Drosophila melanogaster: one gene and its partner. The protein of the gene in region 2 purifies or fractionates together with the protein of the main gene of each other region. This does not show direct contact. Each region holds a gene or a part of one and is shown on either strand. Other genes may lie near its edges.

Evidence for each region.
Region 1: the proteins of AGO2 (region 2) and vig purify together in Drosophila melanogaster (affinity purification with western blotting; 3 studies listed by BioGRID, with this or other methods). This does not show direct contact.

Annotation. Positions count from the first base shown.
Region 1 is NT_033779.5:15,064,312-15,072,094, forward strand, and holds the start of vig (vasa intronic gene), read right to left. Parts: upstream 6,006-7,783; 5' UTR 5,835-6,005; intron 5,786-5,834; coding exon of another isoform or gene 4,723-5,785; intron 4,560-4,722; coding exon of another isoform or gene 4,172-4,559; intron 4,119-4,171; coding exon of another isoform or gene 4,095-4,118; exon of another isoform or gene 4,071-4,094; intron 3,768-4,070; exon of another isoform or gene 3,605-3,767; intron 3,379-3,604; 5' UTR 3,317-3,378; coding exon 2,626-3,316; intron 1,146-2,625; coding exon 879-1,145; intron 638-878; coding exon 123-637; 3' UTR 1-122. Other genes in the region: solo (sisters on the loose), read left to right, coding at 4,095-4,118, 4,172-4,559, 4,723-5,785, 6,112-7,732; vas (vasa), read left to right, coding at 4,095-4,118, 4,172-4,559.
Region 2 is NT_037436.4:15,552,276-15,560,114, reverse strand, and holds the start of AGO2 (argonaute 2), read right to left. Parts: upstream 6,003-7,839; 5' UTR 5,909-6,002; coding exon of another isoform or gene 5,893-5,908; 5' UTR 5,851-5,892; coding exon 5,643-5,850; intron 3,293-5,642; exon of another isoform or gene 3,266-3,292; coding exon 1,998-3,265; intron 1,866-1,997; coding exon 1,777-1,865; intron 1,722-1,776; coding exon 1,112-1,721; intron 1,016-1,111; coding exon 1-1,015. UniProt on the Drosophila melanogaster protein: Essential for RNA interference (RNAi); double-stranded RNA induces potent and specific gene silencing.

The DNA of each region.
Region 1 (7,783 bases), on a different chromosome or scaffold from region 2:
TTTGTTGTCTGTGATATACGTAATTTATAAGTTTTCATTTTGGTAACTTGCTGCTTTCATTCACCATCGTCAGTAACCAAAACTGCAATTTGAGGAACCTACTCCTGCCCAAAACGATCGATTTAAGCCAGAGTGGGAAACTGACGCTCATCGTTGACCTTGGGAGCGGTGTTCTGTTGTCGCTCAAAACGCTTATTCGGCCCTGGACCGCTGTTCTGATTGTTGTTCTGGTTGTTTCCCGGACCGCGACGATCGATGGGTGGCCTTTGATTTTGAGCGGATGAACCGCCGCCCTCGTTATTATGCTGCTGGCCATCCCGTGGGCCACGGTTTCCACCCTCACGATTATCTCGGCCGCCCTCACGATTGCCGCCATCGCGGTTGCCACCCTCGCTGCGTGGTCCGCCTCCAAATCCACCGGGTCTGGGGCCTCCACGGCCACCGCGTCCACCGAAACCGCCAGGTCCGCCACGACGACCATCGTTGAAATTGAACTGAATGTCCAGGACGCGCTGTTGCCTGCCCACACGCTGTGGATAAAGGGCAGGGTCGTACTCGAGCTCCTCTTCGCTGTCGTTCTCCTTCTTCTTGTTGCTAGTTAGGACGACCATTTTCTTCCATTGTGTGGTGTCCTCACCTGCGGGAAATATTGATTGTAGATTAATTTCTAGATGATAGGCCATCATTTAGAGTTAAGCTAAGATCGGTTTGATTTTCAATTTTATACTTCTTTTATACGGATTTTAGCTCAATATGATTTGTAACTTTGGTTGTTGGCTTGGCGAAAAGGTTTCTTAGAATAACGGAAGTTAAACTATCATTCCGTGGTATCGAATTCAAATTATTAACCATAAAAAAATTATGCATTGTTCACGCACCTTCTCCAGCCTTGCGGATATTAAAGGTTGGCTTGATGCGCTGTCCTTGCTGTGCCTTCCACTCGTCCAAGGTCAGCTCTTTGGCTTCCTCCTCGGCGGTAGCCTGCTCGTTTTGTGGTTCAGTGCCAGATTCATCGGCCTTGGCGCCGCCCTCGGCATTGGTCACATTGGTTTCGCTTTCGTTCTTGTTCACATCATCAATAGCCTCCTTGACCGATCCCCAGTTGTGGGAGCCAGCTCCATCGCGTTTGTCAATTGACTTCACACCTGTGCATAAAGAAAGTATCAAATATTAATAATGATTTATGTCTGCTTAAATTCAGAAACGTCAAGAAGCGGAAAATCTGAGCTTCTATATTTGCAAATTTTAGCCACAGCTATAGTGCAACTTGCCTGCAAGCCCTAAAGTAAGTTTTTCTGCTTAATTTATTAACTGAATACTTTAATTATTAGCCAAATAATGGTCTATTTTATCAATACCCCACTAATTAGGTCAATTGAGAAGTAACCACGATAGGGGGACTATATTCACTGCCCTCGCTCGCATAGTCACAGATAAGCCGACAGTAGCAGCCCCAGTTCACTGTAATCAGATTCAGTGGGGGAACTATTCCAACCCCTGTTTCCCCCCAATGATTATGCCTGCAAAGGCCTCCTACAAGCACTTGCGTTAGACGGGAATGCCGCCAAGAAGATGGGCGAACTATTTTTAACACATTTTCTCTTTCGATTTGTGCCGCAGTGCTTCTTGTTTCTGTTGCTGCCGGCCGCTGTGATATTATAATTTTGGATATTCCAAAAACGAAGCGGTCGGTCTAAGCAGGCAGTGGAAAACGGGGGAAAACGCGGCGAAATAGATTTCATTCAATGGAAAGAAGTGTGATGTAGCTTGTTGAATGTTCTGTCCGACCATTAGTATTGATTTGACTCACTTATCCCCCACGTGAGTGGGAGATTTGCCTGTGTTGTTTGACCATTGCCCATAAGTTCATCGGGATTTTGTGTGCCACAAATTGGTTTACACCGTTCTCCCGCACTTTTCGTGAAATTGCTTGGCATAAACAATATATATTTAAACTGATTTATAATGCAACTGTTTAAATATTACTATCCATTAAATAAGATTGGCAATCTGCTCGGAGCAGGCTAATAAATATTTTATACTTTGAAATACATTAAATTCATGATTTAGATTAGCTATAGAAATCTTAAATCAATTGATGGAAATTTCACATAGTTTATTAAAAGGAATCGCATTTCAAACACCGAACGAATTCCAGTTTCTTTTAAATATTTGTTGTGTACACAGAAGATTGGAATCATGTTGCTTGAAGGCGACTAATAATTTCTCATGACTATAAACATGGTAATTGGTTACGCGTAAACTGTGGATGGAATTTGTTTTTCCTGCGTTGCCTGCTGAGTTTTATTTTCTGGTTGTCATGGAGTGTGGCTTTTGGTTTATTTGTTAATTTTTTCGTATGGGCGCGCTCGTTTTATGGTTATGTCTACCCCTTGGTGGTTCAACTTTAGTTTCGATCTTATCAACAGAAACATTAACTATTCATATGCGAAAAAATGGTCATTAATCTAAACGATTTACTCCCTAAATATCCCATCTTCTCTATCCTTTTTACTAAGTATACTTCTCTGTAAAGACTTTAATGTGATCTACACTGTATCTACTTGACTTGACCCCTAACCCATTTGGTACCTTAATGCCTTAATGAAATGACCACACACTCACCAGTTCTATCGGAACCCGACTGGCGGTCGAACTCGCGCTTCCTGTTCTGGCCATCGTAGTTGCGGTTCTGACGCTGGGGACGATCTCCGCCAGCACCTGGGCCTCCACCTGGTCCGCGGTAAGGTCGCGACTGCTGGCCATCGGGTGCTCCGACGTTTTCGCGGACATTGCGGCGATTGTTGCGCTGCTCACGAGTCTCGGCATTGCCATTCTGTTGACGGAAGTTTACGCTGCGCTGCTGCTGGCCACCTTGTCCTTGACCCTGTCCTTGACCGCTACCAAATTCACGTGTTCGGTTGGCGCCACCTCCTTGCCGTGGAGCACCCTGTTGTTTGTAATTGCTGCTGGCGTTATTATTGAACTGCTGCTGTTTGTTGTCGGCCGATGGAGTGAACTTCTTGCCATCGGTTTTGTTTAACGCATTATTGGGCTTGTTCTCCTTTTCGGCCTGATTTGGTTTCTTGGCATTGGGTCCACCAATATTGGATCCTGCGTTCGCCTTGTTATTGCTGTTGGCCACCTTGTTGGCGGTCGTTTTGGTGGCCGCTGCAGCAGCAGCTGACGGTTGCTTCTTCTTGCCAGCTGCTGCTGCGGCAGCAGCGGCCGTCGGCGCCACAAGATTATCTAATGGATCGCTGACATCGTCGTCCATGAACAAAAGTTCATAACGATTTTTACCGGCGCTGTCCATGATTTTGTGGGTGGGTGTGTTTTTCGTTGCTAGCTGGCTGCCGCTTTAATTGCCTTTTTGCTCTGTAAAAAGAAATAAATACACACAGTTTTAGTGGGAATTGATTGATTTTCCTTTTTCGCCCGCCGCCTCTCACACCCTGTGAGATTCGATAGGATTTCTTTTTCGTGTCACAAACTATGGTCTAATATGGCATATATTCGCTGGATTTATGGTTTACGACATTAACACGTGGACTAACGTGAATTTACTCAATTTATTTAGGCCCTTTGGGTGGATTTTTCTTACTTTTCTGCTGGCTGTTTGGTGGCTGCTGCTCTCTAACCTTAATTTTCAGTGTTTCTTCTTCGCCTCGCTGCTAGTATTACCTACACACACTGCCTCACGCGATTCCACACGCACATGGGCCAAATCACGCACACCACAGTCAGCACGAACAGAGCGCCCACATGTGTTCTTGGTATACATAGAAAAACAGAAACTCACGTTTTTCAACGCGTTTCGCGGCGAATGTCGCAAATCGATTCGAATGGCAGCTGTGTTTAGCGGGCTCTCGATTTGGCGGGCACTTTTTAGTTTGAAGTGCAAGCCAATTTCATTAGTTGGAGAATATGTGAAAAATTGAGCAAATTATATAAATTGGTACAAAATGTTGGAGCATATATTATAAGAATTCATAATTCAATACTTTAGAAATGAACGTATTAAGTTATTGCTTTTATACTTATATAGAATTAATTTTTTTTTCTTTCAGCCAAATTAAAAAAAAAATATCAATATGTCTGACGACTGGGATGATGAGGTTCGTATTGCTTCGTACAAAGAATATATGCTTACTAAGCCTATCTATTTTAGCCCATTGTTGATACTCGCGGCGCCCGCGGTGGAGATTGGAGCGATGATGAGGACACGGCCAAGAGCTTCAGCGGCGAAGCTGAAGGCGATGGTGTTGGAGGGAGCGGTGGTGAAGGCGGCGGCTACCAAGGAGGAAATCGAGATGTGTTCGGAAGGATCGGCGGAGGCAGAGGAGGAGGAGCTGGAGGTTATCGAGGAGGAAATCGAGATGGAGGGGGCTTCCACGGTGGACGTCGCGAGGGAGAAAGGGACTTCCGCGGTGGAGAAGGCGGCTTCCGCGGTGGACAAGGCGGCTCCCGCGGTGGACAAGGCGGCTCCCGCGGGGGACAAGGCGGCTTCCGTGGTGGAGAAGGCGGCTTCCGCGGTCGGCTGTACGAAAACGAGGATGGTGAGTAAACCTTTTGGACGACATGTTAAATTTTGGGTTATGGTCATTTGAGTCATTCCTGCTGAATTCCATGTGGTGTGCTTTGTTTTGTCAAGTAGTTTGTTTTCTTTTGTTTTGTGTATGCATATTTGCCCAATTGGTGGCAAATTGGCCAACATTCTAGCTAAGGAACTGCCGCCGATCCCATCTAGCTGCGATAAGGATGAGGTGGGCGCATTCATCGATCAGCTGGACTTGAGCAAGTACACGACCAGCCTAGCACTGATTCGAAAATTGCGTGACTACTTGCTGACTGCATTTAAGGCTTTGGTGAACCAAGCATGGGCTTCTCTCGAGAAATTAGCTCAAGAAAAGCGTGCACAAAAGGCACATCAGATACGCGAAACAACAGATATGATGAATCGCCTTATGGAGGACATGGGCCGATTGATTCGTGAAGGTGAACATGAGGAAGCAAATGGGATTGGGATGGGATTTCAAAGCATTGATGCGGATTGCAGAGCTGATTTGTCGCAATGGAGGAATTTACAGCAAGTTGTGATGCCGCAATCTTCGGAGATCAGAGATGGACAAACAAACAGGACAAGCGGTACTGAGGGCGGTCGATCAGGAGGTTTAACCGATGGCGATGACTTAACCGAAATACAAAGCGCCGCATACGCCGTGTATCATCAGGTTTTGGATCGAGGTTACCAAACGGGTCGACGGCTGTATGATGATAATCAAGGAGCATTGAGAGAAGATTCTATTCCAACAGAAGACCGAGAACACCCAGAAAATAATCAAGTGGATGGATCAACATATGGAGTGACTAGATTTCTGCACTGGCTAAGTGAGAACTTTGTCACTCGGCATGAAATAAGGGCCGTACGTTTTGGCAGTCCGCATATGGTTTTTCAATCTTATGACTGGCCAGAGTCTCCAAAGCAGCACATTTCGACGGTCCATCAAAAAGGCATATTTTATTCTCAGCCCTTAATTAGGACACGCATAATAGCCACTGTTGCGAGCGAGCCAAACAATTCGAGTAGTGGTCAGCTCAGCAGTATGGTAAACTTGGCACGACATCAGCGGTCGCAAAATCAGGAAACGCCAGATGGAATTTACGTTAGTCGCTACAATGCAACTGGAGATGAGGAGACTCCCTGCTCCGCAACCGGAGTCCCCGGCAGAGTTGTGGCTCTGCGTGCTTCGAGCACCCCAAATGAACATAGGAGCGATCCAGGGTACTTAAACCAACTCTAACTAGTCTAGTCTAGCGCTTTTCTTTCTTACCATCTATGGATACTTTTTATTCCCTTTTTCCAATGAGCGGTTGTGTAGAAAAGAGCAGATTTCAAACATTTAAAGATTACATAAAAGAAAAAAAAAAACACCAAATTTAGCCAGACACCGAAACAATTTATAGGAAATTTGATTAGAGAAGTACCTTAATGCAGTATAAATTCAGCTTACTTTTCTATATGTACATATTTTCCATCTCTTCGCTTACTTTCGTTTCCTTCTCTATAACTTAAATGAACACATAAGCTAAGTAATGTCCGTTTCACAGCTTGTCTTTTATACCCAATTTGACTTACGAAGATGGGACCATACCATCATTGGCAGCAGGCGGCGCTGCATCGACACCGTTGGCTCCATCACTGCCAGCAGAGCATTCATTGGGGTTAGAAATGGATAGCAACACTTTGGTGGTACCAGCTGATGCGGATGAAACCCGCTTAGTCGGACATCCAGGATCAACAGTGGTTCGTTCTCGGCTTGGAGGCCCTCCAGCATCAACACCTTTACTATCATTCCGACCTAGACTGCCGGTCATTGACGAAGAGCATCATCTACGCTTTACCAGGGTGTCACGCGAGCTGCAAATGAGTGTTGCTTTCCCGCCGGAAGAGACAACACTAAGCGAGCAACGTGAGTGGGGCTCGATTTTCCGACCACGTGATGAAATGGTTAACTATGCCGAAGGTCCACCTCCTCGCCAAACACAAAGGGCGCGTCGTCGCTCGCGTACACGCAGACGACGTAATCGTATCGCTTCAGCTGCCAGCCCGCAACTAACACCGGAACGAATTGTCCGTCGCGAGGAAGCCTTCCAAAGCAGCCGACATATTGCAGCCACTTTTATGTCCAGCTTGCTACAAAATGCAGCTGGAGAAGTGACGACGTCTTCAGGTCTGGCAGTAACCCGTTCAGTGAAAGAAATAACGACATCAGTCCATATCACCCGAAATGTACTACAAGAGGAGGTACCACCGACCACAGAAGCAACGACGACCTCCCTAGAAGTTGCACAGGCAACAGGGTATTCGGATTCTGGGGCTTGTATGCAATCTGCAGCGTTCTCTCAAGATCTTCCTGTAGTAGCTCCCTTGGAGATATCTGGAAATGCATCAAGTGACCAAGCATCATTTGATCAAGCTTTGGCCTTACTGCCTCCCATAAATTCCACTCCAATAGGTCAGCATCCAATTGCTGTTTTCGGACCTAAAACCGAAATTGAAATTAAACCCCAAAAAATGGACATCTCTAATATGATGAATACATCGGTTCCACCAATGCCAATGGAAGTCGACGAAGTTCCACTGGAGGTATCAAACACTTTGGCCAATATGAGCGATCACGCTTATGTGACTGATATACAGATACTACCGTCGTTGCAACTCAATTCTTTGAATCTTGTTAGCACCAATATTACAGACAATGCAGTAAATATCGCCCCATCGACATCAACAAATGATTTGCAAACGCCAAGTGACCGCAGAACATCAATGCAAAATCAACTATATCGAGTGTCCATGAACGATTTGGCATATATTTCACAACACGCTAATGTGGTTCGTCTGATGGTAGATCGTCAAGAGGAACTAGGGGCACAGGTCAGCTCCCTGGGGCCTTTTAAGGAAAATAGCCAAGGCGCGCTAAATTTTAGTACAATGCCCGCTGTCAAAGTCTACGATCCACGTATAATTCAGAACATTCAGAAGGATAAGATGAGAGTAGTTCATGGGCTCTTCGGTGCTCTTATCAGACAGTCCCAGGTTGATATGCACAATGCACCATTCATCCGAAATCGCAAGGATGCGTTGATGGCATATCGCTTTTTACTCGAGCTTAAGACTGCAAATATTATAAGTCTTAGCTCGGATGGTAGATTTTTCGGGCTGCTCTAATCAAATAAAAAGCATTTTAATTTTAAAAATACAAAAAAAATTTAATATTAG
Region 2 (7,839 bases):
TGTCACAGGCTTGTTTAATACACCTCAGTTCCTCGTTTTTGATTTTCGGAAACTGGCCGTCGCTCACGCCATCTCGGTAGTAGATGATATGATCAGGATAGGCGTTACGGTACTCTTTATACACGCGCAAGTGCTCCAAAGTAATCGAGAACATGTCCTCAATCTCCTCCAGAGCCCCTCGCTGCAAACGATATTGCATGTTATAACTGGCTCCGTAGGGATCGTGTGAGGCTGCTACTCCGACCACACTGGGAATCTCGCGCTGATCGGGAGAGGGATGGGTCACATCGGCTCCAATGTACATGGTGTTCTTCATCATCGGCAGACGAGGATCATCCTTGATCTTGTGGTTGATGCCGTTCAGCTTGGAGTTGATCTTAAGTAGAATATTTCCAATCGTCTGATTATTACACTTTCGTTCCACGGTGAACTGCTTAATGCATTGCGTCAAAATTCCATGCTGCAGCTCGGCCTTCTGCTTAATTGTATCGTAAGAAATTCTAAACTGAGGAATAATCACAATTGCCAGATCGTGCTGGCTGCGCTTCAGATCCGCGAAAATAGTGTCTAGGCTGCGTTCGTCATCCGTGAACGGTCTGTATGTCACATCAGAATCCAAGCTTATGTTGACTGCCTTGCCTTGGGATATTATTAGGTTCCCGAAGTCATTCAGCTGGGTATAGTTCATTTTGCGACCACTCCTCGGATCGCAATACAAGACCGCACACTTGTGCGCCTTGGGCTTGGGCTCCAGAAACTTCATGCCATCCATGCGCCACGACCCGTTCTTCACCATAGTAAACCTCTTACTATGATATTCAACCTGAGGTGGGCTTAGGACGCGGGTGCTTACCACAATAAAATCGTTGGCAATGCGGATGCCAAAGCGACTGATGGTCGGATCCAGGTTGTGCTGGAAGTATTGCAGCAAGTTCATAATCTTGCGCTTTCGCACGTTCGTCGATGTGGCTGCGTACTTTATCATATTGGCCACCTGAGTTGCTCCATCCTTGCGCTGTGAAATACATATGTTTATAGGTATATGTAATGACAATATAGCTTACGGTATTGAACACCAAGATATAGATATAAAGGAATTTAGTGAACTCACGTTTAGGGCCTGACCTTCCTCGATGCTGCATAGCTCGATGGGCAGCAGAATACTCTTGATTGAAGATCCAACGTTCAGACAATGGAGTTGGGGAAACTTCAATGGGTAGTTGCGACTGTGGAAGTAGGACGCAATGGTGACCTTCTTCCCATCGTGTTCGAAGGTCTCACTGCTGGCCGGGGCACGAGAAAGACCATTTACACGGTATACCCTTGGAGCGCTTTGAAACGACTGAGGAGGCGTGTAAACCACATTAATGCCTCTGAGGAATGGCTCAAGGAAGCGTCGCGAATAATCTAAATTCGTTGTATTGTTGATTTTAGCCTTTAAGCTAAATCGCTCCAAATATTCGATCATCGGCATTGAAATCGGAAAGGATTTGTGCGATATATCTACATTTAAAAATGGCCTATCGCCCAGCATAAATGCCTGATACAGACCGACCAGGGCCTCGTATCCATCATCCAGTTCGTGACGATTATTAGGATCGGACATCTTAAAGAAGGAACGACCGACACGGATGGCTTTGTTGTGGCAGGGTGAAGCCAAAACAACCTCCACGCACTGCATTGCTCGCATGGGCTTGTCGAAAATTCGGTCATTCATATAACTGCAGAGGAGCGCGTTCAATAGGAGTATCCATAAAAAACATAATTTATATTTACGTAGTTAACGATTTAAGGTCAATGGTCGAGTCACCAGTCTCCTTGATTTCGATCGTGTAGCGCAAAGTACGACCATTACGATCTGTCACCTAAAATAATAAGAAATAAAAACAACTAAAATATCGTATAGATTAAATTAAATTTAACTGCCACTGTATACATTTAAAAATGTTATTACTCCCAGTTGTTCATAACTTAGTAGACAATTTCTTGCAACTTACAGTCACTTCCGGATTTTGGCTATTTAACGGCAGCTTATCCACCGAGTAGCAAGAGGCTTTGCCATCATAGGCAAGAACTGCTCCGCCCAATTGGTCCACCCGAAATTGTTCAAATGCCTGTCTGTAAAACTTTTTGGGACGCTCTGGCATGATCTTCACGTCATAGTGGTATGCCACAGAAGGCATTTTGGACAGGTCAAGGTCCAGATAGTTGATGCCTACTTGCCCGGGTTTGCCGATTGTTCCGCGCTTAATGCTCCCGGCTGGCTGAGGCGGTAATGGTAATGGGGCAGCCTGCTGTTGCTGAGGTGGTCCACGAGATTGGTATTGGCCTTGGCTCTGGGTTTGGTTTGGTTGTTGTCCAGGCGGACGCTGTTGGTAGCCACCTTCTTGCCCTTGTCGTCCTTGCTGATGGCCACCTTGTTGTTGTCCAGACGGACGCTGTTGGTAGCCACCTTCTTGCCCTTGTCGTCCTTGCTGATGGCCACCTTGTTGTTGTCCAGACGGACGCTGTTGGTAGCCACCTTCTTGCCCTTGTCGTCCTTGCTGATGGCCACCTTGTTGTTGTCCAGACGGACGCTGTTGGTAGCCACCTTCTTGCCCTTGTCGTCCTTGCTCATGGCCACCTTGTTGTTGTCCAGGCGGACGCTGTTGGTAGCCACCTTCTTGCCCTTGTCGTCCTTGCTGATGGCCACCTTGTTGTTGTCCAGGCGGACGCTGTTGGTAGCCACCTTCTTGCCCTTGTCGTCCTTGCTGATGGCCACCTTGTTGTTGTCCAGACGGACGCTGTTGGTAGCCACCTTCTTGCCCTTGTCGTCCTTGCTGATGGCCACCTTGTTGTTGTCCAGGCGGACGCTGTTGGTAGCCACCTTCTTGCCCTTGTCGTCCTTGCTGATGGCCACCTTGTTGTTGTCCAGACGGACGCTGTTGGTAGCCACCTTCTTGCCCTTGTCGTCCTTGCTGATGGCCACCTTGTTGTTGTCCAGGCGGACGCTGTTGGTAGCCACCTTCTTGCCCTTGTCGTCCTTGCTGATGGCCACCTTGTTGTTGTCCAGGCGGACGCTGTTGGTAGCCACCGTCTTGCCCTTGTCGTCCTTGCTGATGGCCACCTTGTTGACCTTGTTTAGTCCACCCTTGTACCTGCTGTTTGCCTTGTTTTTTCTGTGCAGTCCATCCTTCTGCGTCTTGGGATTTTTGCTGTTGGCCTCCTTGCTGGAACCCAGATGCACGGGATCCGCCTGAGCTTGTGGATGGCTGTTGTCTCGAACCTAGATTTAGAAATCGACAAAGAATGTTTATTACAATAGGTGTTAGGTTTCGAAAAAACTGCAAGCAAACTCTTCGAAAAGTATTCACTTGGCTGATTTGAATTTGCTAACGCGAAAATAATTTGTATCACTTTAAAATACATACAGTTTGTCAAGAAACTGTTTACACACTGTGAAATAAGTTGAATTTTTGATTTTAAAGCTAAAAATAAAGGGTTTTTTGCTTAATTAAACGCAATTTTTTTATAAAATATAATTAAACAATATTAATTTTACTTATAAATCAAAAAACAAATTAAAAATATTAAATATACAAGAAAATAAACAACAAATTCCAAGTTTACACACTTTTGAGACTGTCAAGAAACTCTTTACACAAAACACTAAATCGAAGTTTAATCCTAAATTTTTTAATTATTTTATTAAAATTTTAAAAGTTTTGGTATGTAGTATGTTCCCCATTGGCTTTAGCTACAAGTTGAAGCCTTTTTTTCATGGATTGGACAAGTTTTTGCAGGTCATATTCAAACGGGATCTTTTCACACTCTTCGACTATTACAGTCATAAGCTGTTGTTGTGTTTTAGGTCCCTTTTTGCCACCTTCTTCTTTAAGTAGGTCCACAAATTTTCAATGGGGTTCAGATCAGGACTCTGAGGGGGCGTATCGATCACTTTACCACAGTTATTAAGGCGCCAGGTGCGTACATTGCACTCTTTATGTTTCTGATCATGTCCTGGTAAAACTTAAAATTTGGCTTGTTGTTGCTAACCAGACTAATTTTTTCTACACTGGCCTTCAAATTTGTTTTTTAACATTTCTAGATATTGCACGGCATTTATTGTGCTCTCAATTAAGGCTAGTTTTCCCACTCCACGGCTGGTGATACAGCCCCACATCATCAGTGACATTTTTCCAAATTTTATCGTTGGAATGATATTTTGTTTTTCTAGCGCACTCAACGGTTTGCGCCATACTCTGCTTGGCCCGTCGTTATAAAAGAGCATCATTTTTGTTTCGTCACAAAATATGACGTCATCCCAGTACTCTTCCGCATGATCCATCATGCTCACAGCGAATTAATGACGCTTTTCCATATTGGCATCTGATAGCAAAGGGTTTTTCCTTGCAAATCTTGAAGAGTACCTATGGCGTAGGATGACTTGGCGCACAGTTTCGTGTGACACAGTTAGGTGGCATTCTTGCCTGATATCCAGAGCAAGTGATCTGACCGAGATTCGGGGGTTCGCAATCACTATTCGCATAATAAAGCGGTCTACACGCTTTTTAATTTTAATTTTCCGTCCACCACCACTCTTAGGTTCAAGCCTGCCCTCTTTTTCCGAGCCTTTTAAAACATTGTAGACGGTCTTACGGGATACAGGAAACATTTATACTAATTCTGGAAAAGATTTTCCCAACTGGTGGTTATAGTTTATTAATTGGGTAACTTCAAAAGTTAATCTCTTTCCAGGCATTTTATTAAATTTAATAATTCGCTTTAAGCACGTTTGATCAGCAAAATTTCACAAGCAAAGTCAACAAATTTCAATAGAAGCGTTGTAAAAAGCAATGCGAAGCCAAAAATAACGGAAAAATCGAGTTCGTTCTAAGAAAAAGAACAAAACAAAGTAGGAAAACAAAATGTGTAAAGAGTTTCTTGACAGTCTCAAAAGTGTGTAAACCTGGAATTTGTTGTTTATTTTCTTGTATATTTAATATTTTTAATTTGTTTTTTATTTATAAGTAAAATAAATATTGTTTAATTATATTTTATAAAAAAATTGCGTTTAATTAAGCAAAAAACCCTTTATTTTTAGCTTTAAAGTCAAAAATTCAACTTATTTCACAGTGTGTAAACAGTTTCTTGACAAACTGTATGTACATAACCTTAAATGTAAAGATATATTGATGTCAAATGTTCAATTTCGCTTCATCTTTCAGATTTTTAATAAGTTTATAATTGAGTTAAAATGTCGGATCTGGTATAAATTAAGATTAAGATTTACAGATTTGAGCAGATTTTAATTCTTAATTGTTTGATGCTTCTGCCTAAAGCACAACTGTTACATTTCATAGCAAAATTCATTTTTTTAAATATAAAGGAATTTTAATTTAGTTATGTTAAGGGGAAATTCAATAACTGTTATATACAGTAGAATTCACCTTTAAGTATAATACACACATACATAGGTTCTATACAACCATGGCAGTTGAATTTCATCATGGCTGCCACGAATTCGGGAATTCCCAGGCATTTCGAAAGTTTATGGAGCATTTGATTGCAAATGGTAAATCCATATGTACAAAACATATGTATGTACATGCATGCATACATCTATTTTTTGCCTACGCCGATATATCGCACTTTGCACTTACTTTGTTGTTGTTGCTGATGCGGTTGTTGTTGTTGCTGCTGCTGTGGTTGTTGCAGCTGCTGTGGTTGTTGCAGCTGCTGTGGTTGTTGCAGCTGCTGTGGTTGTTGCTGCCGTTGTTGTTGTTGCTTTTGCTGCTGCTGGGGCTGTGGTGCTGCAGCGCTATCCTGTCCTCCTTTCTTGTTCTCTGGGGTGGTAATTGGAAAGTGCATATATTTGAATAGCTGTATGGTCCTGCAGGTGGGACAACTCACTATCTTTTTTTCCCATGATTTACTTTTGAGGGTTTCGAGTTAACTGACGACTTTTAATAGACGATTTTTTAATGCGTCACAGTCTTTTTTAGTGATGGGAGGCCTTAGGGGTGGGCGATAAGTTATTGAGCGGCACAGCTAAAGTGTTTTCTGTTATCGATTATTGATAGGAACATACGGACTAGGCGGGCCATTCAAGTGGGGACTCTATTTATATTTGTATATTTTTATACATGTTTTGTATACATGTTGCTTGTTGAGTCAAATGTATGCTATATTCGTTGAAAAGCATGTATCCGGCAAAAGAAACCGATTTCGACCTAATAAATTATATATATTATAATATATTATATATATTATATATATAAGGACCAATAGCCGAGTCGATCTAGCCATGTCCGTCTTTCCGTCCATCTGTCAGTCCGTACGAACGTCGAGATCTCAGGATGAATAAGAAGCTAGAAAATTGAGATTACGGAAAGCCCCCAAAACTTCCCACGCACATTTTCAAAATGTTTTGACATTTTTCATATTTTTATTAGTCTTGTAAATTTCCATCGATCTGCCAAAAAACTTTAAATTGCCACGCCCACAGTTATGCAAAATGTGATATTTTTCATATTTTGATTAGTCTTGTAAATTTCTATTGATCTGCCAAACTACTATTACTCCCACAAACCGCCGAAAAGCCACGCTTACAATTTTTAACAATTTTAATTTTTTTTCTTATTTTATTCACCAATATCTAATTTGCGTTCGCATTTCCAATAGTTGAGTAACTGGCATCTGATTATCGGGGAAGTTTAAAATAGGAAAAAAATTTTAATTTACTAGTTTTTTTTTTTAAATTTTATTTTGGAAGAAGACATCAGTAAGAATCAATAAATTTAATCACCACTGCTAGAAAGCATTATTTTTATTTTTCCGCCTTTAAGTGAAAAATAGTTTTACATTCCAGAAAAAGTATTGTTTTTCCATAGATAATAAATAAATAAAAGACCCAGATTCCTGCTGTTTGTATGGTTGTTTGAATTTTATTTGGAATTGCACTTTTACTTTTGCCAAATTACAGCAACCAATCATAAAAGTTTTACAATTTTTTTTGATGTATTTTCTTGTTTTGTTTGTTTTTTCCATTTTCAACGTTAAACATACAATATATGCGTTTAAAATGCTATAGCCAAAAAATAGTAAATAGTCGTACATTATTCATACTTGTATATATAAATATATCATAATGTATATTTCATGTTGTCTTTAATTTGTTTGTTTAACGCTTTATTAATAAAATTTTGTTTGTCATTGCACGAGCGTTTTGTTTTTCAACATCGATTTCTGATTTTCGTATTTTTACTAAATATCTTTCTTTTAAAAATTTTCTAACAATTGCACAACTTCGCCCGCTTGATTTATACACACATGCACAGACATACGTAGAAATAGCTAAATTATATTTTATAGATACATATTATCGAGTTGATAGGAAATCAACGGGTTACGCTTGAAATTTCCGTTAAGTAATTTTGTGTTTATAAATTCAACTAATAAAAACTAGAATGACTCATTTAGAACGCTGCGAAAAGAATACAAAAATATCTGTATAAATATGTATGTATGCCAAAAAATTGCACTAAAACGTAAAACACAAATTGTAAACATAAAAAACAAAATAATTGCTGCGAAATTTGATTAAATTGGGTTATACTCTCAAAATATCCCTTCGGTCAGTGCAGCGCCGTCTTATAAAATAAAACTTAACAAACAATAATTCATTTTCATAATTGGCTCGGAAATTGTTTTAAATTGGCCAGGCAACGCGGCAGGTGGAGAACGCAACCGAATTGGGGATACGGATACAGATACGGATATGGATACGGATGCAGATACGGATACGGATACCCATTATAAATTCGTATGCTTTCCATCTATTGAAACTCCAACTTGACG